7 linked regions of the Rattus norvegicus genome follow. The protein of the gene in region 1 interacts with the protein of each later gene in a pairwise test. Links are inferred from orthologs where the notes say so. Each region holds a gene or a part of one and is shown in the gene's direction. Other genes may lie near its edges. The genes, in order: Creb3, Stx8, Tmem234, Vkorc1, Slc35c2, Aqp5 and Tmem51.

The links.
Region 2: the proteins of Creb3 (region 1) and Stx8 interact in a two-hybrid assay, tested with the Homo sapiens proteins (3 studies listed by BioGRID and IntAct). The two-hybrid records come from large-scale screens. The link is inferred for Rattus norvegicus from reciprocal best matches to the Homo sapiens genes CREB3 and STX8.
Region 3: the proteins of Creb3 (region 1) and Tmem234 interact in a two-hybrid assay, tested with the Homo sapiens proteins (2 studies listed by BioGRID and IntAct). The two-hybrid records come from large-scale screens. The link is inferred for Rattus norvegicus from reciprocal best matches to the Homo sapiens genes CREB3 and TMEM234.
Region 4: the proteins of Creb3 (region 1) and Vkorc1 interact in a two-hybrid assay, tested with the Homo sapiens proteins (2 studies listed by BioGRID and IntAct). The two-hybrid records come from large-scale screens. The link is inferred for Rattus norvegicus from reciprocal best matches to the Homo sapiens genes CREB3 and VKORC1.
Region 5: the proteins of Creb3 (region 1) and Slc35c2 interact in a two-hybrid assay, tested with the Homo sapiens proteins (2 studies listed by BioGRID and IntAct). The link is inferred for Rattus norvegicus from reciprocal best matches to the Homo sapiens genes CREB3 and SLC35H1.
Region 6: the proteins of Creb3 (region 1) and Aqp5 interact in a two-hybrid assay, tested with the Homo sapiens proteins (2 studies listed by BioGRID and IntAct). The two-hybrid records come from large-scale screens. The link is inferred for Rattus norvegicus from reciprocal best matches to the Homo sapiens genes CREB3 and AQP5.
Region 7: the proteins of Creb3 (region 1) and Tmem51 interact in a two-hybrid assay, tested with the Homo sapiens proteins (2 studies listed by BioGRID and IntAct). The two-hybrid records come from large-scale screens. The link is inferred for Rattus norvegicus from reciprocal best matches to the Homo sapiens genes CREB3 and TMEM51.

Annotation. Positions count from the first base shown.
Region 1 is NC_086023.1:62,612,229-62,616,451, forward strand, and holds the start of Creb3 (cyclic AMP-responsive element-binding protein 3), read left to right. Parts: upstream 1-1,423; 5' UTR 1,424-1,580; coding exon 1,581-1,757; intron 1,758-1,842; coding exon 1,843-1,999; intron 2,000-2,073; coding exon 2,074-2,144; intron 2,145-2,249; coding exon 2,250-2,339; intron 2,340-4,223. UniProt on the Homo sapiens protein: Endoplasmic reticulum (ER)-bound sequence-specific transcription factor that directly binds DNA and activates transcription. Plays a role in the unfolded protein response (UPR), promoting cell survival versus ER stress-induced apoptotic cell death.
Region 2 is NC_086028.1:53,168,172-53,171,671, forward strand, and holds part of Stx8 (syntaxin-8), read left to right. Parts: intron 1-2,777; coding exon 2,778-2,888; intron 2,889-3,500. UniProt on the Homo sapiens protein: Vesicle trafficking protein that functions in the early secretory pathway, possibly by mediating retrograde transport from cis-Golgi membranes to the ER.
Region 3 is NC_086023.1:147,225,688-147,229,754, forward strand, and holds the start of Tmem234 (transmembrane protein 234 precursor), read left to right. Parts: upstream 1-1,267; 5' UTR 1,268-1,303; coding exon 1,304-1,319; intron 1,320-1,579; coding exon 1,580-1,731; intron 1,732-2,910; coding exon 2,911-2,977; intron 2,978-4,067. Other genes in the region: Eif3i (eukaryotic translation initiation factor 3 subunit I), read right to left, coding at 998-1,090, 1,183-1,185.
Region 4 is NC_086019.1:191,932,691-191,936,900, reverse strand, and holds Vkorc1 (vitamin K epoxide reductase complex subunit 1), read left to right. Parts: upstream 1-1,410; 5' UTR 1,411-1,432; coding exon 1,433-1,605; intron 1,606-2,541; coding exon 2,542-2,651; intron 2,652-3,495; coding exon 3,496-3,698; 3' UTR 3,699-3,932; downstream 3,933-4,210.
Region 5 is NC_086021.1:174,439,983-174,444,135, reverse strand, and holds the start of Slc35c2 (solute carrier family 35 member C2), read left to right. Parts: upstream 1-1,353; 5' UTR 1,354-1,425; exon of another isoform or gene 1,426-2,178; intron 2,179-2,227; exon of another isoform or gene 2,228-2,730; intron 2,731-2,916; exon of another isoform or gene 2,917-3,007; intron 3,008-3,260; exon of another isoform or gene 3,261-4,153.
Region 6 is NC_086025.1:132,600,106-132,604,327, forward strand, and holds the start of Aqp5 (aquaporin-5), read left to right. Parts: upstream 1-1,422; 5' UTR 1,423-1,530; coding exon 1,531-1,893; intron 1,894-2,926; coding exon 2,927-3,091; intron 3,092-3,511; coding exon 3,512-3,595; intron 3,596-4,222. UniProt on the Homo sapiens protein: Aquaporins form homotetrameric transmembrane channels, with each monomer independently mediating water transport across the plasma membrane along its osmotic gradient. Plays an important role in fluid secretion in salivary glands.
Region 7 is NC_086023.1:159,611,129-159,613,891, reverse strand, and holds part of Tmem51 (transmembrane protein 51), read left to right. Parts: coding exon 1-277; intron 278-2,763.

The DNA of each region.
Region 1 (4,223 bases):
CTCTGTCATCTCTTTGGATAAAAGGAGCCTCTGTGATCACACAGGAATAAGAGAGCTCACTACAAAACAAAGGCAGCTACTTGCTGCCCAACTTCTTACATTTTACCTGTTCAGCTGTAGCTGCAGCCTTGACTCTGATGCTATCACTAATTCCTAACATTAATCCTGACTTTATTTTGTATCCTAATTCCCTATATTTTGACACTTACCCCTTTCCTAGCACACAACCATACTAATCTGGCTTTTATTTTTAGGCCCAAATCCCCTAACTTTAACCCTAAATACTGCCCCTCTCCCCAGTCCTAAAGCTCATTTCTACCTTGATTCTTAATTCACCTTCTCACTGTTTATTCTTAATACTGACCATGACAATGGCCTTTAATCCCTGAAACGAGCTTCTAAGCCAATTCCTGTTGTTGATCCTTAACCCGATCCTGTACACTGACTTATGCTGGTCATTCCAGAAAATAATGACCTCAGTTTAAATGTCACAAACACGAAAGAGACTTGACTCATGCATGTTTAAAATGTAGTCCAGCTTCTTAACTTCTAATGGGATCCTTGCTTCCTAAACCCGACGCACCTAACTCAAACTCACCCAAAGTTTTCCTAACCACATACTCACTATCGGCTAACACCAAAGCCCATCCCCGCCCAATGCCTCACTGCCACCCCATTTCTACCCGTCCCAAAAACTATCCGAGACAGAGAACTGTCTACTCCCGCGAAAAGGGCCTGTCTCTCGCAACACGGCTGGCTTAATTTCAAACCTAAACTGAAACGTACTGTACCCTGACCTCCCCAACCGGACACAGGATATGCAAGAGGATTGGGGGCCCCGCCCGCCGCTTCCCGGGCCGGCCTGATCCCGCAGCCCCACCTAGAACCTCAGCCCAGCCCGTCCGGCCTACCTGCGCTGCCCAGCTCTGCGCCCCGCCCTGGGCCCGCTACCCGCTCGTTCTCCCGGTCGCTTTGGGGCTCCGGCCTCGCCCTCCCTTCGACACACTCTCGTCCACTTCCGTCCTGGAAACGTCCCCCACCCGCCGGCGGTCCGCTCTATGGTCGCAGAGACTGCAGGAAGCTGCTCTGGCCGCAGCTCTCGATGCTCGGGCTCCCGCGAAGCCTGGCCGCCCCTCCCCGGCAGGAAGCGAGGGTGCAGAGCACTGGAGAGAACGCCCGAACTAAACGGGAGTTCCCTTTTAGACTCTTAGGGTTTTTTTAATAGCTCGCGGCGAAGGCGGATCCGGATCCTCAGAATCCCCGCCCTGGGGCGTGGGAAGCTGAAGGGACATCCCCATAATTTGCATAGCCCCTGGGACGTGGCGCACTACACAAGCCACTTCCGAGTTGGAGGGAACTCCAAGTCCCAGGATTCCACGGGACTATGTGCATCACTTCCGTTATGTTGGACGCTGAGGGGAATAGAAGCTGAGAGGCGGGTGTGGCATATAGAGTAACAGCTAGGCCCTGGTCCGGGAGTGACTAAGGTTAAGTCGATGCGACTTGACAGACTGAGGGGTCGTGCCTAAGGTTCGGAGATTGGATCTGCGCAGAGGAGTTTCTATCCATAAATATTCCAAATGGATCCTGGTGGTCAGGACCTGCTAGCTTTGGATCCTGGTGATCAGGACCTGCTAGCTTTGGATCCTGGTGATCAGGACCTGCTGGGCTTCCTGCTAGAGGAAAGTGGAGATTTGTGGGCTGCGACTGAGCAGGACATAGAGACTCCCCTGGACTTGGAGCTGTCGCCTTCCGAGGTGGGTGGGTGTTCTGAGTGGGGAAGCTAGCGATGTCCCTGAGACCCAAGGTACAGAGATAAAACAAGGCCTTTGATTTTGTTAGAACTCCGTGCAAGAATTGAGCGACTGGGAGGTAGAGGATTTACTGAGCTCTCTGCTCAGTCCCTCGTCATCGCCGGATGTTCTCAACTCTTCTAGTTCTTCTATTCTCCATGATCACAACTATTCCCTTCCACAGGAGCACGTCTCCATAGATCTAGGTGAGTGTGAAATGTTAAGTTATGGGGAAAGAGAGAGCTCACTGAACTTGCTAGCCCTACTTTCGCTTTTGCAGATCCTGGGAGCTTTGAAAAGGAGGGGTTCCGCATGAATCCATTGCGTGTGGAGGAGACAGCAGCAGAGCAGGTACTGGGCTTGGTGTTTCAGGATTACCTCACTTTGCAGCGGCCAAGAATCCCCCATACTGCTCTGACATCACCATGCAACTCTGCTCTCTTCCTCCAACCTTAGGAACTTTCTACACTGATACTGACGGAGGAAGAGAAAAGGCTTTTGGAGAAGGAGGGGCTCACTCTGCCCTCAACACTTCCTCTCACTAAGGTAAGGCTTCTGGTAGTAGAGCAAAAGCTGGAGGGGGATTGTATAACCCAAGTAGGCAAACTCAGTTTATTTCATATCGATCACTTACAAAAGGACTGAGGTCAGAATGGAAGCTGATAGTGGGAACCTGGGACGAGCAGATACCAGGGTAGATCCTGGTCTTGTGGCGCTGATATACATTTTGGCGTTCCTTTCAAAATTATCAGTGTATGGCTTTGTAGGAAAAGGCCTTGCTTAACTCCCAGGACCCACGTGATGGAAGGAGAGACCCCCATGTACAAAAGATAATTTTTTTTTTTTGTTCTTTTTTTCGGAGCTGGGGACCGAACCCAGGGCCTTGCGCTTCCTAGGTAAGCACTCTACCACTGAGCTAAATCCCCAGCCCCAAGATAATTTTTTAAATGTAGAGTAACTTTAGAACAGAGCCTTGAAAGGGCCTTCAAATGATGGCCTTGACAGATTTCGTTGCTATCTTGGGACTTCGCCTTTTGCTCAGTGGTAGAGTAGATATGCTGGAGAGGCTGAAGCAGTCTAACAACAATAGTTGTTACAAAGCTGTAACAAAGTTGTAACAAAGCTGGACTTGAGGGGCTCACACTGCCATAACCCTAGAGGCAGAGGCAGGAAGGTCCTCCCACGCTCAAGGTCACTTCCCAAGTGAAAGCATACTGCATCTAGTTTTTGTGCCCCTTTTATTGTCTTACTTCTTTTGTTATGTATGTACTGACTTATTTGGGACAGGTGGATCAGGAGTTAAAGGCCAGACTTCGCTTCATGTTGAGTTTAAGCAAGCCTGGCCCACATGATAAACCCTCTCCTATCCCTCTCCTGCCATTACGAGATGAATGAGCAGTATAGTAGTTAATAGGAAAGAAAATGGAGTTTTGGAATTATCAATAGTGGCTCCGTCCCTAGGACAGTAACTGTCTTGTCCTCCTTTACACTGGCCAAAGCATACCATAATTCTCCTACCCCTGGGATTGGAATATAGCACCTCTGGAATACTCACCAAGTGCTCTACCACTGGCTACGCCCTCCAGCCCTGGTTTGTAAGGCAGGGTCTTGTAAGCCCAGGCTGGGCTGGCCTCACACTGTGTCGTAGGTAAAGAATGCCTTTGAATTCCTGGTTCTCCTGCTTCTAGCTTCCTAGGACCAGATTACAAGTGTATGACATCACTCCTGGCTACTGTCCAGGTTTGACAAGCATTATCAGAGACTATGAGAGTTAACTTTATTCAGTTTTAATTTCTGAAAAAAAAAGAGTTTAAAGTACTTAAGATAAAGATGTTCTATATCATTCTAGAGAGCCTAGGAAAATCCAATGGGTGGAAACTAGAAGATTGATGTGGGTTTAGGATAAGGATGGTGGTAGTTGTTAGTTCTGAGACATAGTCTTCTGTAGTTCACTCAGTCTGTCCTGAAAACTACCCTAACCAAGGATGGTCTTGAAATCCTGACCTCCTTCCTCTTCCTCCCAAGTGCCGATATTACAGGCATGTACAACCACACCTAGCTTAGGAGGAACTTTTTAAATTAATTGGCAGCTGTAAAGATGGCTTAGTGGTTTAGAGCACTTTCTGCTCTTCCGTGGGGCGTGAGTTCCAGTCCCAGCACCCACATGGCAGCTCACAATTATCTGTAACTTCAGTCCCAGGAGATCTGTCATTGTCCTCTAGCCTGTGTGGGCACCAGGCACACACATTATACATATACATTATACAGACATGCAGGCAAAACACCTATACACATAAAAATAAGAAAACTCTGGCTTTTAAGTGCTGGACACGTGTCCTGTGGAGATGTCCACACAGAAGGTGAATGCCTATTGGCAGAAAAGCTGTGGAGAGAATTTCATTGGGAAGGTTAGCTGCCATCCAACACACC
Region 2 (3,500 bases), on another chromosome or scaffold:
GATTTTTTTCATTCAAGATTATTAAAACATCCTATGCATTCTCCTAATAATAGTGATACAATTTTGTCTTTTAATGTTTTAAGTTCCAGGGCCATTTGGATTTTTATATAATTTTAACCCTGGAGTTTTGTTCAGCGAGTGTCCAGTGTATGTTTGCTTGGGAGGCTGATTAATAAGACCTCTACAGAACGTCAGGTCTGCACAGTAGGCGGGCAGAACATGTAGGGAAGGCTAGCTGATACTGGGACATAACTAACAGCCCCACAACGTAGAGTTTCCGTTTGGCCTTGTTCTGTGTAATTCTTTTCACAGCTTCTGTTTTCTCCCTGCCCCATCACCAAGGAACACTGCTTAAATCGAATAAGAGCTCTCTGCTTTATTGGCAGTTTATCATTAATTTGAAAGACATAGATAGATACTTGTTCTTGGTTGGCACTGATCAGAAGATGAATATTTGGCCTTTTTATTAAAGAATAATAAGAATAAGAATAAGAATATGTGGGGTTCTGTTTCTTAGTTACAGTTGCAACACCATGGTTTCCAAGCTGGGGTGCTTGGTAACTGCTGTCAGCAGGAGATGGAAAAGTGATGGGGGTGACTGGACCCAGGGACATGTGGCATGCTGGAATGTTGAGAGAAGCCATTTATTGTTATTATTTTTTAATATGTAGAGTAACTATGGTGCAAAGACTCAGGCTTAGGAGATTTATGATTTTTCTAATAACTCTGTTATTGAGGGAAACTTTTTTTTTTTTTTGCCGGGGTTTGTTTACTGTTCCTACTAGCTAGCCAACACTTCTCTGTACAAAATTAACAGCAGAACTCGTAGATCCCTGAGCCGTGGATTTCCCTCCCAGGCAGTAGTGATGCTAATCCTAGGTTCTGCTGAGTTCTCAGAAACTTTGGGGCCTGAACACAATGTTTTATGACCCCTTTAGACTTATGTATTTGTGAATGTACACACTCATCCTGTGGTGTGCATGTGGCAGATTGAGGCCTCGAGGGAGTCAGTTCTCTTCTACCATACGGGTTCTGGGACTCAAACTGAGGTCCTCAGGCTTGGTGGCAAGCACCTTCCTTGCTAAACCATTTCGCCAGCCCCTTATGATCTGTTTTTTTACAAAGAAAAGGATCTGTAACCCGAAGCAGCCATCTTTCATGCTTACTGTTGTTGCCAGAACTGGTATTAGTGGCCAGCCCTGCTTCTCATTGCCAGCCTTCAGATCTGATGAAACCGCCATTCGGTAAAAAAAAAAAAAAAAATCAAAGCCAGATACCCCTTGTTTGTTTTTCTTTTTCTATTTGATGTCAGACACAAGATTTTTTTCTTAAATCTGTTTGTTTACTTCCCATGTCCTGTCCTTGATGGAGTTTTCTTCAACATTTCTTTTACTGTTTTGAGTGTGTGTGAACATGTGGTTATACACACACAGATGTGGAGACTGGAGGTCCATGTGCAGCATCTTCCTCAGTCTCTTCACACTTCATTCTTTTGAGAGAGGTCTCTTGGTGAAACCCAAGTTCATGGATTTGGGCTGGCAGAGAGTTGCCTGGGGTCTGCCAGTCTCCATTCCCCCTTCCCACCAGTTCTGCGGCTTCAGGTGAACCCTGCCAGGTCTGCTTCCCAGAGCTGTCCCGAATCCAAACTCAAGGCCTCAGGCTTGCAGGGCGGCAGCTCACTCACTGTGCCCCTCTTCAGCTCTGTTCCGGTGAACCCACAGAACTTAACATCTATTGTTTTGTTTCAAGAAAGCTAGTGCGTACACTCAGGGAGGTGATCGGGAGTGGGAGACCAGCTTGGGCTACATAGTAAACTGGGTCTCAGAAAGACAAACAAAAAAGGAACTTTGGGTTTAAGGACTGAGGGTGTGGCTTGGCAGTAAATCCAATGGCTCTGGAGATAAGTCCTAGTACCACAAAACCTACGGAAAGATGTAAGTGTTCTGGAGTTCCATATAAAGAAACAGCCATGACTGGTGATCACCTCAGTCAGTAACACCTGTCCTGCAGGCCTGAAGCTCTGAGGAGGATTCCAGGAGTCAATGGAAGGGTGAAAAAGGAGAGAACAGACCCCACAAAGTTGTCCTCTGACCTTTACATGCACTGTGACATGAACCCCTCTCCCCACCCCCCCCACACCAACAATAAAGAAGCATCTGTCTCGACAGGTGAAGCTCTGCCTTTAGGTTCCAAGTCTGCCACATTTACTAGAATAACATGTCGACTTGTTTGTGGTTTCCCACAAAGATCTATAGTACTTCTAACTACTGAGCTGACAGAAACATCTTTCACAGCACATTGATGCACAAAAACAACTTTCACGAAGCTTCCATCTGAACTATTACGTTCACGGGAGACACCTCCCCCTTTCCAAACCTTAGGCTTTGTGGGAAGGGTGTTTTGAGTTTGTTTTTGCACTGCTAGGAGTCATCCCGGCCCTATCTTAGGGCATTGATAAGTTAGCAGACACCCTTGAAAGCTAACACCTGAAGCTTAAGCCTAAGGCTCCAGCTTGCCCTTGTAGACTGTTCACTGGCAAAAGAAATAGACAGGCAAACCAGCTTTTACGTGGTATACTCTTTAGTGATAGGACTCTAATAGTGATCTCTGTCAGTGTCTGCATTATCCATTTGCAGTGGTACAGTCAGGGTCATTTACCTGAAGGATTCTGGGTAGCAGTAGGTGGAGCCTGTAATGGCTGCAGGTGACTTGGGTTAATAAAGCCTTAGGGAAATGAGCTAAGCCACCCACTGTTGGACCTTAACAACTGACCACAGAACACAACTGGAGGGGGATCGAAGACAGAACCTTCTGGATGATCTTGTCACCCGAGAGAGACTGCTCCTGGCATCGTTTAAGAATGAGGGTTCCGAGCCGGATTTGATCAGGTACGATGCTTTCATTTACAGGGACACCCAGGCCCCTGAGGACTCAGGCGCCGTCACGACAGGAGGAAACGAGTTCAGAAGAGAAGCTACTCTCCTCTTCAGAGCTCTAGCAGTGAGTTTCTATTCTGTACAAAGTCTGCTTGTTTATAGCATCTGATTGTATTTTCCTTCTGCCTTTAGTTTTCATTAATTCCCCGGATTTCATAAGCCTGGTGTGTTCAGCTTAAGCTCTTGTTAGGTGGGGCATACTCATGGAGAATACAGCTCGAAGTTTTCTTTTGCCTTCTTTGAGTTTTCTGCCTGGTAAACTCCTGAAGTTGGCCTATTGAAAATTGTGTCCTGGTGAGGCTAGGACAAAGCCATAGAGGGAGGGGCTTCCTTGTCGGCTTTCTTCCCCAGGTTCTTTGCCAGCCTGTGATGGGCAGTGCATATAGCTAACAGCTGCCCTGAACACAGCCTCCATTGCTGGGGCTAATGAAGGATAAATTGTTACACCTTTAGCATCGGCCTCTCCCCGATTCTGGACCTTAAGTTCATGGTTGGGAATATCACAGAAGCAAACAAGTTCAGAAGAGAGACTGCTCTCCTCTCCAGGGCTCTGGCACTGAGTGA
Region 3 (4,067 bases), about 85 Mb from region 1:
GGGTTCTCCTCCGTTCCTAACATAAGCGGCAGAAGAGCCAGGCCTGCCACAGCACCCTCATACGCTTTTGTCTGGATTCAGGAGTCCAAGACAAGATTGAGTTCCAGCCTAAAAAAATCTTTCAGGTCCTGTTCAGCTGACTACAGATGACAGTAAGGACGCATGGGCTCTGGTGCTTTGTCACTAGCTCACCCTGTCATCTTAAATACAGGGCTTCTTTCCTTTAAATGGCTATGAGAGCTGAAGAGATGGCTCAGAGCTTAAAGAATACTGGCTGCTCTTCCAGACGACATGGGTTCGATTCCCAACACCCACACGATACCAACAATCTGTAGCTGCAGTTTCAGGGGATCTTCTGGCCTTCTCAGGTACCAGACGCACACATGCAGGAAAGCACCCATACACATAAAATAAAATGATTACACACACACAAAATATATATAATTTTTTTTTTAAAGCACTGGGAGGAGCTGTACGTGGTAGCACACATTTGTATTCCTAAGACCAGGAGGCTGAGGCAGGAAGATGGAGAGGTTCAGGCCAGCTTGGATAGATACCCCACCCCTGTTAACAGCTTTCTTCAAAGGGCAGCTGTGACGCTCCAATAAAACCATGTCTATGAACCTTAAAATATAAGCGACTAACATACATGAGGTGCGGTGCAAAACTATTTAGAAGAATGACCTCACTTGCTGGGGGAGCTACTAAAAGCTTCCATGTTTTACTAAAAGGGAAAACTGTAGTTTAGAAGGGTTAAATTTCAATCTCTTAATTTTCTTCTCCCTGGGTACTCTTTCCTTTCATCCACCAACATCTTCCAGATTTTCCTGGCAGAATGCTGTCGCTACCCTACTCCGGTTATGGGTGGTTTTCCCTGCTTTTCAGAGAAATATCCCTCCGGCAGCAAACCTTGTTCACCTCACCCTCTGTCCCGGCGGCGCGAACTCGCTCCCCCCGGTGCCCCGCCCGGCCCTCCCGCCCTCGCGCAGTCGCTCACGGGGTCTTTGGCCACAGTGAAAAGGAGGTCTCCTTCGCGGTTGTACTTGATTTGCGTGATGGACCGCTCATGGCCCTGAAGCAGGATGGGCTTCTGTGAGGACAGAACCGGAGTGTCAGTGCCTGAAACCCTGTCCCAAGTCTACTGAGGACCCCCGACAGCAGCACAGCGTGCCTGGAACTCACCATCCTGGCGGTGACGCGAGGAGAGAGGCAATGTGAGTAGGACCGGAAGAAGACTGGGGCGACTTCCGGATGTGAGGACTCCGCCCTCTCGCTCCCGGAAGTAGAAGGGCCCGGCGTTTCCATGGCGGCATCCTTGGGTGGGTAGCTGGCCCCGCCCCTCTGCGGGCTCCGACTCTCCAACTCGGAGAATCTCTTCTCACTCCCCTGGCATCCCTGAATCGCAGGAATGCTAAACCACGCACCCTGGTCTCCCGGTCTCACTTCCGCCGTTTTGCCGGCCGGTCCTCCCGACCTATCGCTGCCCGGCGCGGAGAGCGCGGGAGGGAGATGGAGCCGGTCAGCCGGGCTGGAGGAAGCAGGAGAGGGCCGGGGTGACTTTCTGACCCTTTGCTTTCAGGGCAGGTGCTTGCTCTGGTGCTGGTGGCTGCACTATGGGGTGGCACGCAGCCACTGCTGAAGCGGGCCTCCTCCGGCTTGCAGCAGGTGCATGAGCGGACATGGGCCCGGCAGCTGGTGGGGGAGATGAAGGCTCTCTTCTTGAATACTGAGGTGCGTACGCTCGGGAGGAGCCGCTGAGTGTTTGGTCGCTGGTCGGCCAGATTCTCAGCCCACCTCCTACTCACTAGAAGCTCCTGGAAGCTCATTTATCCCCTGTGAGTCTCAGTTTCATCATCCGTAAAATGGAAATTTTAATGATAACCCATGTATAGGGCAGATAGAAGAATTGAGGTAAGACGCAAAACACTTAGCATTGGGCCTAGTACAGCGTACATGTTCAATCTATGACTTTTTTTTTTTTTTTTTTTTTGAGACTGTGTTTCTCAGTGTAGCCCTGACTATCCTGAACAGTCTAGCCTCGAACTCAGGGATCAGCCTGTCTCTGACTCCCGAGTGCTGGGATTAAAGGCGCTGCCACGGCCAGGCTCTTAATGTCATTGTCACCCTATCAATTATATAACGATTTGGAGCATTTCCAGAAGCTTTCTTTGCCCTGGAGTTGTACCTAAGGAAGGCTATAATGAACTGCCTACAAGCCATAGCTGCCGATGTAAGCTAGCTAGATATGCAGCACTCTGAGGGGTACAGATAAAGTACTGTGTGAACTCTGAGAGAGATGGGAGTTGGAGGACAGGGAGTGGGCTTCCTGGAAGGGGTGACACTGTCACTCAAGGAAAGATGGGAACTGGCCAGGACGAGGGAGAGGATATTTAAGGCAATAGAGTACATTGACTGTGTTTCTCTCTTTGCTCTAAAGAGTCCTCAAACACATGAGTGTGGGGTTAGGGATTTAGCTCAGTGGTAGACCGCTTGCTTAGCAAGCGCAAGGCCCTGGGTTCGGTCCTCAGCTCCGAAAAAAAAGAAAAAAGAAGAAAACAAACAAACAAACAAACAAAAACCCAACACATGAGTGTTCCCTGAGCATTTGTAGCCATCCCTCCCCCTGGGGGAATGGCATAAGCTAGAACCCGGGTTCTCAAACTGAGTAGTAACTGGAAAGGGGCCTAATACCAGATATCCCAAATGTCAGATATTTATATCACCGTTCATAAGTGTAGCAAAGTTACAGTTGTGAAATAACAATGAAAACAATTTTATGGTTGGGGGTCACCACAACATGAGGAACTGAATTAAAGGGTTGCAGCGTTAGGGTTGAGAACCACTGCTCTGGAGAACCGAGAAGACTGTTGCCCATGCAGGCAATCACTGACAGGTTTCTCCTCTTTCTAGTACCTGATGCCCTTTCTCCTTAATCAGAGTGGTTCCCTTCTCTACTACTTGACGTTGGCATCAACAGGTGGGTCTCTAGCTTGGGTCTTCTCTGGGGTGGAGGCCATATTTTTCAGGGAAACCTGAAACCCCTTGCACCTATTAGTGAGGGAGAGCACCTGTTTCTGGTCCTTCTGTGAGTCACAGGGGCAGTGAGGGGGATCAGTGAGAGGCCAGTCACTAAAGCTGGCCTGACAGTCTTGTGTAGCAGCAGAAGGAAAGTTCATTGTGGTCTCATAAGTGCTGACCTCTTGTTTGGGAGGGGGGGTTTTCTTGATACTTTTTCTGCTTGTGTGATGATTGTTTTAATTTTTTTGACTAGATTTATTTTGTGTGTGTATGTGTGTGTGCGCATGTGTTATAATGCGTGTTTGGTCAGAGGACAAGTTTTAGGAGTAGGTTCTCCTTTTATCTTGGAGATTCTAGTAATGAGCTGGGCTCATCAGTCTTGATGGCAAGAACCTTTACCACTGAGTGACCACACTGGCCCCTTTCAAATCGTGATCTTTGTATCTGTCTTCTAAATGCTGGGATTATAGGTGTTTACCAAACACCCATGTAAGTGATGTTCTGATTCCCCTCTACACTACCTGCCTGGCCTACAGTAAGTCCTTTATTTGAATCTTGGCTTTATATAGTGGGTTTCAGAGCACTGTGACGCCTCTAACCAACTCTGGCAGTCTGTTCTAATTTTCTGCTACTTCTCATTCTCTGGCTTGTTCTGTCTTCACTTGTCACCTGTCACCTGTCTCTGTAAAACTGTCCCAGTAAAGGGGCTGGAGAGAAGGCTCGGCAGTTAAGAGCACTGAGTGTTCTTCCAGAGGTCCCGAGTTCAATTCCCAGCAACCACATGGTGCCTCACAACCATCTGTAATGGGATCTTATGTGCTATCCTGTTATGCAGACAGAATGCTCATACATAAATAAGTTTAAAAAAAACTTGCCCCCTCCCATGCTCTCCCCTGTCCTGTCTGTTCTTGTGAGAGTTGGACATATCCTGTCTCTGACTCATTCTGTCATATTTTTCTCTGGTTAGTCACTTTGCCTGTCAATTAGACATCACTTTCATGGCTTTTGTCTACAAACTAACCTTACCTACATTGGTCAAAATTGCATAC
Region 4 (4,210 bases), on another chromosome or scaffold:
TGGGCTTCTGAGTCTCATCTGAGCAGGAACACGGCATCCACCACACTCTCTGAAGTAGAAGTAGAAGACCTGAGAAAGAGCAGCCATGGAGGGAGGGCAGTCATCCATAAAGAAAGAGTTCCTTAAAGCAGCAACTGATATCACTTGGAGGTCAAACCACCGCATGACTCTAAAAATAAACATTGGACCTGATGTCCAGGTCACACTTGCAACTAGGTGTCAAGGAGATGTTCAAGGGCAGCTAGTTTATTATGTAAGTATCAAGACAGAAGTAAAGAAGACTGAAAAATGTAAAATCTTTCCAAAACTTGCCTGTGAAGGGTTAAGATTTAAGGTCAGTAGGGGAGGGGGTTGGTGAAGGAACTCCATGCAAATGGGAAGGATGGAGAGTCAGAGAACTCAGAACTGACAGGTCCTCAGTAGGTAGGATACTTGTAATGGGAGATAATATAAGAGGGATTGTTGGGTTGATCCAGGCTCAGGTTTTGCCAAGAGGGCACCACACGGTACCGAGGTCTGGGAAATCACAAAATGTGGCCTAGATAACAGAATTCATTCTGAGAGTGAGGGTGCCTCCGACCACAAGGGGCGCTAGTGAGACACAAGGGATAGCTGGCGGTGACCTGGAAACAGGTTATAGCCAAATAGCATCTGAAGTAATTTCAAGGGAAATGCTTCCTGAGTAGCATCCCAGCTTTCGCTGAATTCCACTAGTCCATTGGTCTGTAGATTCTAGACATGCCGAATGCATACAACAGGACTTGGCATAAAAAAATGTGCAAAGCTGGTCTGGGGAGGTAGTTTAGCAGCAAAGAGCACTGACTGCGCTTCCAGAAGGCCTGAGTTCAATTCCAGCAACTTCACACGATGGCTCAAAACCATTTGTAACGGGACCCAGTGCCCTCTTCTGGTATGTCTGAAGATAGCTACTGTTTGTATCTGTGTTTGTGTAGCGTGCGTGTGTGTGTGTGTGTGTAAAATAAAAAAATTTAATGCACTAAGCTGTGCACCGTCGTGTTAATACTATCTTTACAACACTACATACTCGGGGTTGGGGATTTAGCTCAGTGGTAGAGCGCTTGCCTAGGAAGCGCAAGGCCCTGGGTTCCGTCCCCAGCTCCGAAGGAAAAAAAAAAAAAAAAAAAAAAAGAACCAACAACACTACATACTCAAATTTCCCTTAATGTCTTGCAGCCTCTCCAACTACAATTCCCATCATGCCCGGCAGTTGTTGTATCAATGATTACCCCACATTCCTTAATCCTGTTTACCAGCCCAGCATTCCTAGCTGTCACGCCTAAGAATAACCAATTGAATTGGAGAATGCCAGCGGAGGCTTGTCAACCTTCCGGTCGGAGGGGCGTGGTCACATCAGACCACGCCCTGCCCCGTGGCGGGTTCTTCCCTCTTGTGTCTGCGCTGTACTGTCGACATGGGCACCACCTGGAGGAGCCCTGGACGTTTGCGGCTTGCACTATGCCTCGCTGGCCTAGCCCTCTCACTGTACGCACTGCACGTGAAGGCGGCGCGCGCCCGCAATGAGGATTACCGCGCGCTCTGCGACGTGGGCACGGCCATCAGCTGTTCCCGCGTCTTCTCCTCTCGGTGCGTGCAGAAATGAAAAGCATGGGTTTCTTGAAAACCAGTGTACCTGACGGCCAGGTTGCCAGATGATTTTGGAGTCTGGGGTCGCAGTGTCCGCAGAATAGACACTTTAAGAGCGGACTGCCCCCCACGAGTTTTTATGGGTAATCGGACGTGCACACGGGCTGGACCACTCAGAGATAATGGTATTTGAACGCTTTCTGAGGACGCCAGTGAATAACTGTGATTGGAAGATTGGCGGAGGCAGGGCAGTATAGCGAATAGAGACAGAGGGTGATTGGGATGGCACAAAGCGGGAGGAGGTGGTGGAGCTTTGACCGTGCTGAGAGACAAAGTGCTCACTCTGGGTTTTGTAGGAGGACCGAATGTCAGTGGGTGGCGAGAACTGTAGCTTTGTGGGCCCAAAGCAAATAGATTTCCCAGTTGTGGTCACCGTAAAGTGAAATCAAGCTGGAAAAAAATTTAACCTTATATTTATTTGTTTGTGAGGTGGCACATGCATGCCACTACATACATGTGGAAGTCAAAATAACTTTCGGGAGCTGATTCTCTTCTACTTTATGGGTCGCAGAGATTTAATCCAGTCGACAGGTTTGGCAGCAGGCACTTATTTGCTGAGCCCTCGCACCAACTCCTGAAAAGTTATTGATGGCCTGTGATGACAGGCCAGTAAGAGTAGGGGACAAGGGGGTTGGGGATTTAGCTCAGCGGTAGAGCACTTGCCTAGCAAGCGCAAGGCCCTGGGTGCAAGGCCCTGGGTTCGGTCCCCAGCTCCGAAAAAAAGAAAAGAAAAAAAAAAAAAAAGAGTAGGGGACAAGGTGGCCGACCTTTGGATTCTTGGTGGGTGGAGCTTCTTGCTAATCACTTTTTTTTAGAAAAAAAAGCTCCGGAGGCACCAGGCTGACTGCACTTACCTGGTTCTTTCACTTCCACCAGGTGGGGCCGGGGCTTTGGGCTGGTGGAGCACGTGTTAGGAGCTGACAGCATCCTCAACCAATCCAACAGCATATTTGGTTGCATGTTCTACACCATACAGCTGTTGTTAGGTGAGTGGCTTTGCCCCCTCATGACCTGTCCTCTGAAATCCAGACCAACCCCACCTCATGTCTTGGTGACCCAGACAGTTGACAGCCAGCTGCTAATTACTGAGCAATTTCCTCACAAGGAGAACACTTAGCAGGAGTATCCAAGTTGCTTTAGGTTTAGGTAGCCAGAGGCTTGAAGGGCCCTCAAAATTTCCCACAATCTCAGTTTTATGGCAAAGACTCAATTCTTTTTTCTTTTTGTTTAGTTTTTGGTTGTTATTGTTGTGTTTTGGTTTTTCTTCTCTCTCTTTCTCCTTTTTTTTTCTCCCCCAAGACAGGGTTTCTCTGTGTAACCGTGGCTGTCCTGGAAGTTACTGTGTAAGCCAGGCTGGCCTTGAACTCAGAAATTTGCCTGCCTCTGCCAACGAGTGCTAGAATTAAAGCTTTGGGCCACACCTAGTGAGTTTTGTTCTTTTTGAGACATGGTCTCTCTACATAACCCTGGTTGTCCTAGAACTCATTAAATAAAATCAGTCTGGCCTGGAACTTGCAGAGATCCTCCTGCCTTTGCTTCTTGAGTGCTGGGACTGTACACAACCGTACTCAGTTGGTGGGTTTTGTTTTGTTTTTGGAGACATTCCAGGTTGACCTTGAACTTCCTTTTGAGAGGACTCCAATAGGAACTCGTGTTTCATCTTACGTAGTTTAGCAAGAGAATTCACTCTGGGTCCCAAGAATTATTGAACAGATGAGGCCCATCAGATCCTGTGTTAGAGCACTTTCACCAGAAGCACCTGCTGCCTGTCATTGGGGAGGTGTTACAGAGTTCCAGGTATACCATTACTGACCCTCTCTTGTTTTACAGGTTGCTTGAGGGGACGTTGGGCCTCTATCCTACTGATCCTGAGTTCCCTGGTGTCTGTCGCTGGTTCTCTGTACCTGGCCTGGATCCTGTTCTTTGTCCTGTATGATTTCTGCATTGTTTGCATCACCACCTATGCCATCAATGCGGGCCTGATGTTGCTTAGCTTCCAGAAGGTGCCAGAACACAAGGTCAAAAAGCCCTGAGGTCCCACCTCATGCCAGGCTGACATGACTTGCTTTGCCTTAGCACATGAGCCTTGCCCAAGTGTATCGTGTGTGGGTCCCTAAAAGGCCCTATCACCCTCATTCAAACACCCCTCTATAACCACACACAGAAAAATGACCAAATGTGCCTCTAGGTTCTGTCCCCATTGGGCTGCTTTCTGCTATTGGTCAAAGAGAAGGATTTTGAACAATAAATTTTTCTATGTTGGTCAAGTCTGAAGCATATGTCTGCCAGGGACCCTTCGGGGTGTTGGTCTTTCCGTGTTACTGCCTTCTCTGGAACTGGGATGAGTCAGAATGGAGGGCCTGCCCGGAAGGGGAGCTGCATCATCTCTAGCATGTGTAGTCAGCAAAACCTGACACATCAGCCCCCACGTCCAGGAAACAAGCTTGCGCCTGCTGCCTACAGATCAGACCCTGTCGTAGGAGGGCCTGCTACACACCTGGAGGGCAAACTGGGTTGGAACTTCTTACTATGGTAGAGCTCAAAC
Region 5 (4,153 bases), on another chromosome or scaffold:
GGGGCTTCCTGTCAGTCACAGTGTTTTCAATAAATACTCTTTCATGTAGACTGGTTCCTGTCAACACCTCTTCCTCTACACTTGTTCCCTGCCCCAAGGGTAGGGAGCCACCTGGCGGTCTTCACTTCAGTGTGCCTGGGAGCGTCTGGAGAGCTCCAGCCACCTTCCAAGAGCATCTCCCTCTCCCCTGGTTGATCCTGCTCTGTCACGCACAGACTACTCACACCTGCTGGCTGAGGATGCTCACAGACTGTGGTACAGGACAGAGCGTTTCCTGCTCAGCCCTGCTGGGTACAACGTGGAAAGGCATACTGTACACCCCCAAGAACCCATCCTCCCTTTTTTCCCTGCCAGGGACACAGCCAGGGAACAGATCAAGTACTTGTGCCTTTCAAAGAAGACATGTTCTGCACCCCGTGTGTTGCCTGCGCTCAGTACCCAGCCTTCCAGCTGGTGCTTTAAGCTGTTGCTCCTACCAGCAGCCTCGGTAGCGGGGAGGTTTGAATGAGAGCAGTGATGAAAATAGATACTTCCTCTTGCCGCTGTCAGAAGGGGGGGGGGGGTGAGGACAGGCGCTTTCAGAAGGCATAGAAAGTGCATGCAACACAGGCCTTGAGCACTGAATGAAGCCAGGACCTTGGGCTGCAATGGGCACCACTGTAGGTCTTAGGAAGCATTGAATAAACTAAAGCTTTCGTGGTGCCAGCTGGCAGCAGCCTGCAGCAGCAGTGCGCACAAAGCACAGCTTACACTCTGGCCTTGAGCCTTCTGCTAGGAGCCAGGAGCCCAGCCAAGTCATGTGCAAGAATCTCTGTTTGCAGCCAGTCCTAGTAGAGCCCGGATGAGCAGAAGCCCAGAAGTGGGCCAGCTCGGGTTTGCAGCCCTAGCTTGCTTGGCTTAAGAGATTATCTTGCTCACGTACCCTGTTCCTAAAATGAATCAAATCCAGGTATGCTAAATTGTTCTGAGGCCACCTGTCTTCCTGGGCTCCCAGTAAGACTAGATCCTTCTCATCCACTTCCTTTCGGGTTCCATTTCCTCTGGGATGAACTTCCCGTACTCAGCTTATTGAATAATTCTCACAAAAGTATAGGCACATGTAATTTCACAAAGTGTCCATTATTACTTTGCCAAGATCTTTTACCTCTAAAATTTAATGGTTGTCAAATCATTATCCTAGCTGCTTGAGGTCCCAAAAGAAAAAGGCCCGCTACAGAGTTATTAGTATCTGTGATTCGTTCCTGGTGCTCGCTTAGGGGAAAACTACAGAGGCACTGTTAGAAAGCTTGCTGTGGCCGCCTTAGTTGAGGGAGTTGTTCTGGCTCCGCCCACCCCCACCGGCTTCCGGCGGAAGTCTCGCTTCCAGCGGGACAGTGCCCATCTCGAGTTTCCGGCAGGAATCTCCCGGCGAGAACCTGGGTGGAGGTAAGTGGGCGTGCGGTGGGCGGTCCCCTGCATTCTGGCCCGGCCTCAGTTTCCCCAGCCTTCCTCTGGCTCTGTGCCCGTTCGCCTGGCATTCGCTAAATTCTTACGAGGGGCCGGGTCTGGGGGATGGGGTTATCCAGATGGACACTGCTGAGCAGGCGCGGCAGGGACACGTGAGCAAACACATTCGTCACGCGGTGGGAAGTGCCACGCGCAGTGGGGGCCCTGGGGAAGGGGACAGACGCAGAGAGCATCAGGTTGCCAAGGAGGACACCGGCTGATGTGCTGGGCACACGGCCGTATGTGGGGTTGCAGCTGACAGGCAGGATCCTGGGAGGGCTTGTGGACCCAGCCCAGGGATCTCCAGTCTATAGAAATCGGCAATCTTAGTTTCTTTCCCTGATGCAACTTAAGGAAGGAAGGGCTTATTTTCCCCCATAGTTCCTTGTGCTGTCCATCGTGAGGAAGTCAGGGCAGTAAGTGCTTGAAGCAGCTGGTCACATTTCCATGGTCCTGAAGCCGGGAACCTTGAGAGCCATCAGTGTTTGCTAGTGTCCCTCTCCCTACTTTTATGGAGTCCAGGAGTCCCTGCCCACAACAGCATGGGTCTCCCCATATCAGTTAACCTGGTCAAGAGAACCCCTTTCTGGTATGCTCTGAGGCCCATTTCCCAGGTGATCCTAGATGCTGTCAGGTTGACCTCACTAACCACCGACCAGTCTCTGGCTCTTTCTGGACGGCAGGCAAGTGCAGGTGAATGGAAACTGTAGCGTATAGTCTGTGGTGGTGGGAGAAGTGAAGAGAAGTAGATAGGTCCATGAATAACCAGAGGTGGACTGGACAGGGCAGGAGATGAGGAACGCTGGGAGACAGAAATGGCTTCATTGATCACTGCCTTGGGCCTAAGTAAACAGTTGTTAGGGTGGCTATTTCTAAGAGATTTGAGAGTCAGATGGAGACCTGAGGAATATTAAGATAGGTTCTCGAGGTACCCTGAGGTTGAGCTGTCTGTGGGCCGGGTTCCTCTGCCTTCACAGAGAGCTTGGGGTGGTCTTGGTGGGCTGGGAATGAAGGCGGCAAAGAGGCCGGATCCCAGCCCTCGGGCACCAGTGCTTACTGGCTGAGTTAGAGAGGGGTCTGGTCAGACAGCTTTACAGAAAGCAGAAGACTCCAGAGACTGTGGTAAGCTACACCCACTAGGTCTCTGAGGAGGAAGCTGTCAGTTTCATGAGAGGAGCCACAGAAACCTGGGCTCTGACCAGGTGACAGGGAAAGAGTAACTGCCTGAGTGAACAGCCTGGTAAGGTAAGGGAGGTAAGGGGGTGGGCTGACTTTGGGAAGCTTTGTGACGGAATGATTCTTACCACGGGCCAGTGTCAAGTGCTGCTAGTGACGCCCCTGCCCCAAAACCGCACAGCTAGAGAAACTGAGTCAGAGCAGGCCAGATAACGCAGTCTCCGTTGTCGGTGACACAGACGGGTTTTCTCACAGGTCTTTGAAGCACTAAGCTGTACAGCCACATTCCGCTGAGGAGCTAGAGGGCAGCCAGGTGTTACAGCATCGTTGCCCACCCTGCTCTGAGGTAGGCACGGTTTCTTGGGGAAAGGGACGCCCGCTGAATTCCTTGCTTGGGTTGATGTGATTAGAAACCCGCTCTCCCTTACCATCGAGGGAGGATGAGGCCCTTAGGGGTTTTACATTTTGTCTAGCCAGTGTGAGGCAAATCACTGCTTAGTGAGGACGCACAGAGTGAATGTCTGCTTCCTGGGGTCCTTTCTGGCTGAGCTCTGTCTTTGCGTATGGGGATAGGTGACTTTCTGCATGGTGTCCCACAGAAGTGGGGAGCTCGAGAAGCTCTCTGAAGGAAAGGTGAGGCTTGAACAGTAGACAAATGGCAGTACATTGACCAAGGAGGAAGTGGTCAGAAGTAGTCAGGTTAGTAAGTTGAGAGAAAGGGGAACAGGATACCCTGGCATGTAGTGTGCCCCACGACTGCCTGGGAATGGGAGGCGGTGGTTCTCAGGGAGCACGGTGTGGGCTGTTCTGGAGTGTTGGAGACTCAACCCAGACCCTCCACATGCTAGACCAGCACTACAAAGTAATTTCTGGGCACGGCCTGGGTTGTTACAACTTGGGGTGGGGGACATGAAACTCGTGGCATCTGCTGGGTAGAAACGGATTTGTTAACGGATTGCCGCGTAGAAGACTGGCCTCTCCCAGAAAGATTCAGTAGTCTCAGGCTACAGAGCCCCAAGCATTGAGGGAATGGGAACCTCGAGGTCTGTTTGAGGAAGCTTTAACCCTGGGTCCCCAACTGTTTAACTGTATCAACGGGAGCCTGAGATCAGAGGTGAGATCAGGTGAACAGGTCTGGTTAGCAGTTGGATCTGCCTCTGGAGTTCATGGTGACCAGAACTGGCTGCATGCTGGGGAGATGTGAGCCTACAGAAAGTATATCAAGATATAAGGCTGCCTTACGCACGTGGGGCAAGGCCTCCTCGTTGGACCCATCATGGCTTTAATCATGGCCTGTTTATTAACCCGGAAGTCAGTGCCCAAACTGTAGGGTGAAATAAGACATACTTCGCTCTGTTCGTTTCTGCGGTGCTGGAGTTGCAGTGAGAATTCTTCTTGCTGTAGAATCCACGAGAGTGAGCCCACCATGAGGGGAAGCTCACAGCCACCACGCCAGCAGCTCCAGAGCTGTGAGCACTGTTGCCGTCAGTGA
Region 6 (4,222 bases), on another chromosome or scaffold:
AATTGCCCTAGGAGGTTTTTAAAATTGACCAAGGCGGAGGTGACTCTCCTGGGCCTTGCTCTATGGGTGATACCATGCAAAGAGCTCAAGCACGAATTTTGGGGGGCAGAGGGTAGGCAGCTCCTTTTCTGGGATCCTGAGGGTGGATCCTTGCCCTGCCCCCAAACCCTGGAAAGCCCTCCAATCTCCTTTCACACATACCAAACCTGCAGAGGGAGGGTTGGGAGGACAAGAGGGAGCTGGAAACTATAAAAATGTGCTGCCCAGTACAAGAGTGGAAGGACTTGATGGGGTGGGGGTGGGGGCCAGAAAGACAAACTGTATGAGTGTCCGACGTAGGAATGGGAGATAGCCGGGCAGAAATAAAGACCCACAGGTTAAAAGAGACCAAGGAAAGAGCTAGAAACAGTAATGGACGGATTGACTGGGGGAAAAAAAGAAAGAAAAAGCAAAAACCAAGAGTCAGAGAGATGGAGGAACTCACGCACATGGAGAGAGAGAGAGAGAGAGAGAGAGAGAGAGAGAGAGAGAGAGAGAGAGAGAGAGAGAAGAAAGAACAAGGATAAAAAGCAAACAGCCACTCAAAGGTCTAAAGTGAGGGAGTTCTGGTGGGTTGGAAACAGAAGAGGCCAAGATCCTTCCCTCTGACACCAGTCTCAGGGCCACTTCCCTAAGCCCAAACAACCCAAATTGGTCAACACTCCGAGGTCCCCAAGGGCTCCCACTGAGAACGCCTCCTAGAGCCCGCTGCCTAGAGCCAACACTGCCACACGCGGCGTCGAGGATTGCCATTAGGCTGGCATTGCGCTCCCGACCCAACGCCCCCGCTCCCGCCGGGCTGGACCGGGGAGAGGCCCACAATGGCCGAACCGCCCCCGCCACGGGCGGATTGGGAGCTAAGAGGCGCTGTCCTCAGAGAATCGCATCACTCTGGCCGGGCCGAGGGTGAGACCGGGTCAAGATGCTCGGGTCGCGCGAGCCAGAGGAGGAGAAAGGGGGAAGGCTGCCGGTCGGCCCGGGACGCCGGTAAAGCCGGCCGGAGACGGACTTCCAGAGCTCTGTGGGAGCGGAGAGCCAGGACCGCGCTCAGCAGCCCGGGGAGTCCCGCACGCACGTCGGCCAGGAGGGCGCGGGAACAGCGCTGAGCGCACGATGCGCGCGACCCAGGCCGCGGGGCCGGTTTACACCGCCGCGTGGGTCACGTGGCCCGGGCGGGTCCGCCGCTGTGCGGCTGGGGGGCCCGGGGCGCGCGGAGCGGGGGGAGGCGAGCGCGCCCCGGCCAGGCTCGCGCCCTGCGCTCTGCGCTGGCCCCTGGGCGCGGGAGCCGCCCCCGGCCCCCCCGCGCTCTGCCCGCCGCGGGGCGCGCGCCCTCTATATAGCGCGCCCCTGCCCGGTCCGCGCCAGGTCACCTGCCACCGAGTGGGCACCGCACCGCGCGCAGAGCCCCGCAGACAGACGCCCGCCGCTACCAGCGCCGCCCCGACGGCCGCCCCGCAACCCTCCCGCTGCCACCGGGCCCCCAAGGCCACCATGAAAAAGGAGGTGTGCTCCCTTGCCTTCTTCAAGGCGGTGTTCGCAGAGTTCCTGGCCACCCTCATCTTCGTCTTCTTTGGCCTGGGCTCAGCACTCAAGTGGCCCTCGGCTCTGCCCACCATTCTGCAAATCTCAATTGCCTTTGGCCTGGCCATAGGTACCTTAGCCCAAGCTCTGGGACCTGTGAGTGGTGGCCACATCAATCCAGCCATTACTCTGGCCCTCTTAATAGGAAACCAGATCTCGCTGCTCCGAGCTGTCTTCTACGTGGCAGCCCAGCTGGTGGGCGCCATTGCTGGGGCAGGCATCCTGTACTGGCTGGCGCCACTCAATGCCCGGGGTAACCTGGCCGTCAATGCGGTGAGTGTCCACCAGACTGTGGAGGGATGGCCAGGGACGCTGGGGACATTTCAGACCAGATCCTCCATGCTTCCCCCTTCTTAAGAAAGGATAAAGGGTACAAGCCAAGCAACAGTGCACAACTATGCCGGTAAGAACAGGCTGACCAACCTCCTAGCCAAGCTCGGTGCTCCCTGGTCCTGGCTCCTTGGTCCTGGCTTCTCTTCACATTCTACCTCCTCTACCCTTCCCTCTTAGGCCGCTCTTCCTGGCCTAACTCCCCCTGGCCACCGAGACATCTCTTCAATTTCTAATCTCACCTGTGAGTTCTTTCTTGTCATCCCCTTGGTGGTGTCATTTTAACAGACCCACCAGAGAGCAAGGGGTAGTAGTAATCAGTCCCGGTCTAGAGCAACCGTGATCTCCCTGGGCTTCCAGTTTATTAGCCATTACGTGGAGGTGATTAGAGCACAGTGTCGTGGGGATTGCACTTGGAAGCCATGATGGGACACCGCCCCCAATACTGGCTCCCTCTTCTGTAATCCCTGTTCCTGCCTCCTGTTGTCTCCCCATTTTTGGAGCCCTAGATTCAGCCCCCTGTCCCATGTGAACTGGGCTCATTAATCAAACACAGAGGAGGATTTTCTCGGCCATTGTCAAGCTGTGAGTCAGCCACTGGAGAGACGGGTTTGAAGTTGGCACTGGCAGTGGGTCAGGCACGGATAGGAGGCCAGGGGCTGTTTGCAGTAGGCAAACTGGGCAGCTGCCCACAGGAGGGAGGGTAAATGCCAGCTCATGGGGGCTGGGGATTGGGCAGAGTCGTTGACATGATGGCACCCAGGAAAACTCGCTGACACCCTACCCTCCGGCTACAGGCCTGAGAGCTTCAAGCTTGTGCACACTGAAGTGCGGTTTCTCCAATAGCCCGTCTGGGTCATGCTCTTGGCTTCCAAGAGCTCAGGCTCTAGGTGTCCTTGAAGACCAGAGCCTCGCTTGTCTACCCCTGTCACAGAGCCTGAAGGCAGCAGGCTCCTAACCCAGCTCTTCCTTACAGCTGAACAACAACACAACGCCTGGCAAGGCCATGGTGGTGGAGTTAATCTTGACTTTCCAGCTAGCCCTCTGCATCTTCTCCTCCACCGACTCTCGCCGAACCAGCCCTGTGGGCTCCCCAGCCTTATCCATTGGCTTGTCTGTCACACTGGGCCATCTTGTGGGGGTGAGTAGTGCTGACACAAGCTGGGGTGTCGTGGAGTTGAACACCAGCTCCTCCAGATGGATAAGACCCAGCAGAGTTTAAGACCTGGTCTTGACTATCTAGGCTGTTGCCTTACTGGACCCTAGGTTTAATGTTGCCCACCCCCCCCAAAAAAAAACCCTCTCTGGACTGAGAAACTGAACGAGTGGAAGGAAGGGAGCATAGAGACTCAAGCTGAAGCAAAGGCTGAGAAGGCAGGGGATGTGTTTAGGAGTGTGTGGTGGGCAGCTGGGCTGCATGGACAGTCAGCATCCTAGAAACTGAGAAACCTGGATTTGAGATGTGGCTGGCCCCTGCACTGTATGACCCCCGAGAGAGTCAGAAATCTGTGGGAGTGGAAGGGATGGTGCCCTCCTCACCATGAACCCCCCATCTACCCAGATCTACTTCACCGGCTGTTCCATGAACCCAGCCCGATCTTTCGGCCCTGCGGTGGTCATGAACCGGTTCAGCCCCTCTCACTGGGTAAGTGTGGCCTTCCTCCCGCTCCTCATGGCAGGCAGCGTGCTGAACTGAAAGTCCTGAAGTGACTGAACTTTCTGGGTGTTTCGGCCCAGAACTTGGAGGTTGGAAAGAGAAGAGAACGCAGAAGGGGGTGACGCTCAGCCAGAGAAGGGTGGAATGAATCAACGAGTCTTCAGAAGTGCATTGGAGGGGGGGTCTGTGTTAATCTGAGGATTTCGTCTGCCCCTCCGTGTAGCTGTCCTCTAATGTTGTATTTATCTGTCCCTGTGGAGATATTGAGGCTTACTCTTCTGGGAGGGACTGTACCCCTAGACAGTGTTTCCATGTATCAGCAGCCTTGCTGGGCCCTGCACTTTGGAAGACACGTGTATTGGAGGTTCTGTCCATCTCTTCAGAAGGCACAGTTGCCTCCCTTTGGGGGTGAGATTGGGAATCCTGTCTCTCCTGGGCTCTGCCTGCCTCCGTGGAGGGTCCATGACTTTGTCATTAAGGACTGGCTAACAATATCAGTCCCCAAGATGGAAAGACACCTTTCCCTCTGAAGGTCTGAAATTGGTGTCCATTTCCTTTCAAGGTCCATGAGTTCTGTGTTCTGGTGGGGAAGAGCGTGGTCCCCGAGTCCTGGGG
Region 7 (2,763 bases), about 97 Mb from region 1:
TGGTCCTCGGGGTTATCATGGCCATGTGGAACCTGGTTCCTGGTTTCAGCCCTGCGGATAAGCCAACGGCTCAGGGCAACAAGACAGAGGGAGGTGGTGGCATCCTCAAGAGCAAGACTTTTTCAGTGGCCTACGTGCTGGTCGGGGCCGGCGTGATGTTGCTGCTGCTATCCATCTGCCTGAGCATCCGGGACAAGAGGAAGCTGCGGCAGAGTGAGGAGCTGGCCAGAATTCAGCAGCAGGCAGGAGCCGTGCCCCCCTCCCAAGAGGAAGACAGGTAAGATCCAAGTGACTGCTCCCTCCACCCTAGGGTAGGGACACACTTGCGCACGGGATGGTGGAGAGAGCACTTTACTCCCCGAGTCTGTATTTCCACTCTCCTAAAGGAAGGTGCCTCATATTTTTACAAACAGCCTTGTGCTTACTAGATGCAGGCTTCTAGGTGGATAATATGGTGTAGCACAGAAACTGGTGGGGCCTAGGGTCCCAGCGCTCTGTTGTTTGTCTCTCTGTCCCAGGTGCTGTGTGTGTCTACTTTGATTTTAGAAGGTCAAGGCACAATTATTTTGCTTGGTCAGAAATATCACGAACATATTTAAATGATAGACGATAGATAGGGCCTATGTAATAAAAGTTTGGCGTCTCTTTTAGACACATTTCTGTTGCTGTGCTCAAAGCACTCTGACAAACGCAACTTAAGGGAGAAAGGATCTATTTAGCTCACAATTGCAGGTCTGTCATTTTGGGAGAGTCAAGAAGAGAGAGGGATGAGTTAATGTATGCAGACAGCCCTGCACTCAGTTCTGGGTCTCTCTCTCTCTCTTTTTTAAATATTTATTTATTATATATAAGTACACTGTAGCTGTCTTCAGATACACCAGAAGAGGTTATCTGATCTCATTACAGATGGTTATGAGCCACTATGTGGTTGCTGGGATTTGAACTCATGACCTCTGGAAGAGCAGTCAGTGCTCTTAACCACTGAGCCATCTCTTTGGCCCTGGGTCTCCTTTTCATCCAGTCATGAAATGCTGCCACCCAATTCAGGGTGTACCTTCCCACCTCCATTGACATAGTCAACACCACCACGCCCTGCACACACAGCCTCAGGCGTTCTCAGAGGCCTGTCTCCCAAGCCATGCTAAATCGGTGTTTCTCAACATGTGGATCGATATCCCTTGGGCAAATCTCCATTTTCAAAAATATTTATATTGTGATTCATAACAGCAGCAAAGTTGCAGTTATGAAGTAGCAATGGGAATATGGCTGGGGCGTCACCGTAACATGAAGAACAGTGCTGAAGGGTTGCAGCATTAGGAAGGTTGAGAACCACTGTTCTAGCCAGTGCAAGCTAAGGAGCATAGGCACTCAGCACAGCATCCATACTAGGTGTTCTTCTCGCTGCTCTGACCAAATACACAGAGTTGGCTTAAGGACAGAGGCTTTATTCCGTCTCTCAGTTTGAGGCTAGGGTCCATTGTGGACAGGAAGGTGCGGCCGCAGGAGCCTGGGGTGGCTGGTTACATCATGTGGGAACTCAGGAAGCAGAAAGAAATGAATGTTGATTTTCAGGTCCCTGTCTTCTTCTTCCGCTTCATCCAGACCCAGCCCATAAATGGTGTTGCTCACATTTAAGTCAGGGTGGATCTACCATACACAGTTAAACCTCCCTGGAAACTCCCCTGGTCTCCATATGCATGGCTTTGACCTTGATGGGGCCACAGGGAATGAACACGTGACAACCACAAGTAAATCTGGGACTGAGTGGGTCATGCACACTCTAATGGAGAGGCACCAGCCACAGCCAGGAAATTCACCACCTTAGGGGGGTCTCTGTGGAGGAAGTAGCCTTAAGCTGCAGCCATGGGGAGGAAACTGCAGTCAGTACTTTCTGCTCCTACTGGTCAACCGTAGACCAGGGAAAAGGCCTTGCCATTCCCGAGTCTGGGACATTGGCATTCTTGACACGGTCCTATTCATGTGAACAGTGCACATTGACACAGGGCTTCATCTACTCCCAGTGACCCTCACAGACATCCCAGAGACGTGTCTCCTAGGTGATGCCTAATCTCAAGATGACGATGAGGATGAACCCCTCCCTCCATCATAAAAGAGCCCCGTGAATCGACACAAAAGATGTGCATACTGGTCAGAAGATAGAGAGAGGTGACAAGCAATGGTTTCATAGCTGTTCCACCTCATTAATCCTGGCGTACAAATAAAAAGACACTTTGTGGGGTTGGGGATTTGGCTCAGTGGTAGAGCGCTTGCCTAGGAAGCGCAAGGTCCTGGGTTCGGTCCCCAGCCCCGAAAAAAAAGAAAAAGAAAAAAAAAGACACTTTGTCCTCCCAGGCCCCTCTCTCACCTACGTCAGCCAAGACAGGAAGGTTCTAGCATCAGAGAATTAGAAGGACAGTATTCCATGAACATTATGGGGACAGCAAAATGGTTCGATGGGTAAAAGAGCCTGCTGCCAAGCCTGACCACCTAAGTTTGACCTCAGGAACCCACATGAAGCTCACCTCCCACCTCCATGTGTGCACCATGACACAAGCACGTGGGTGGGCATGCACAAATAAAAGACAGGTAGATAGATTGGCGATTCCCCCAGACATGGCTGACCTGCGTTCCTTAATGCAGAGCAATCCCCACATCACTGAGAATGAGACATTATAGTGGTATAGCCTTTAGAAGGCTCCAGAATGTGAGACACTGTGGGTGGGCTCGAGAGGGACAGCGGCAGACAGACAGGGACCATGGTAC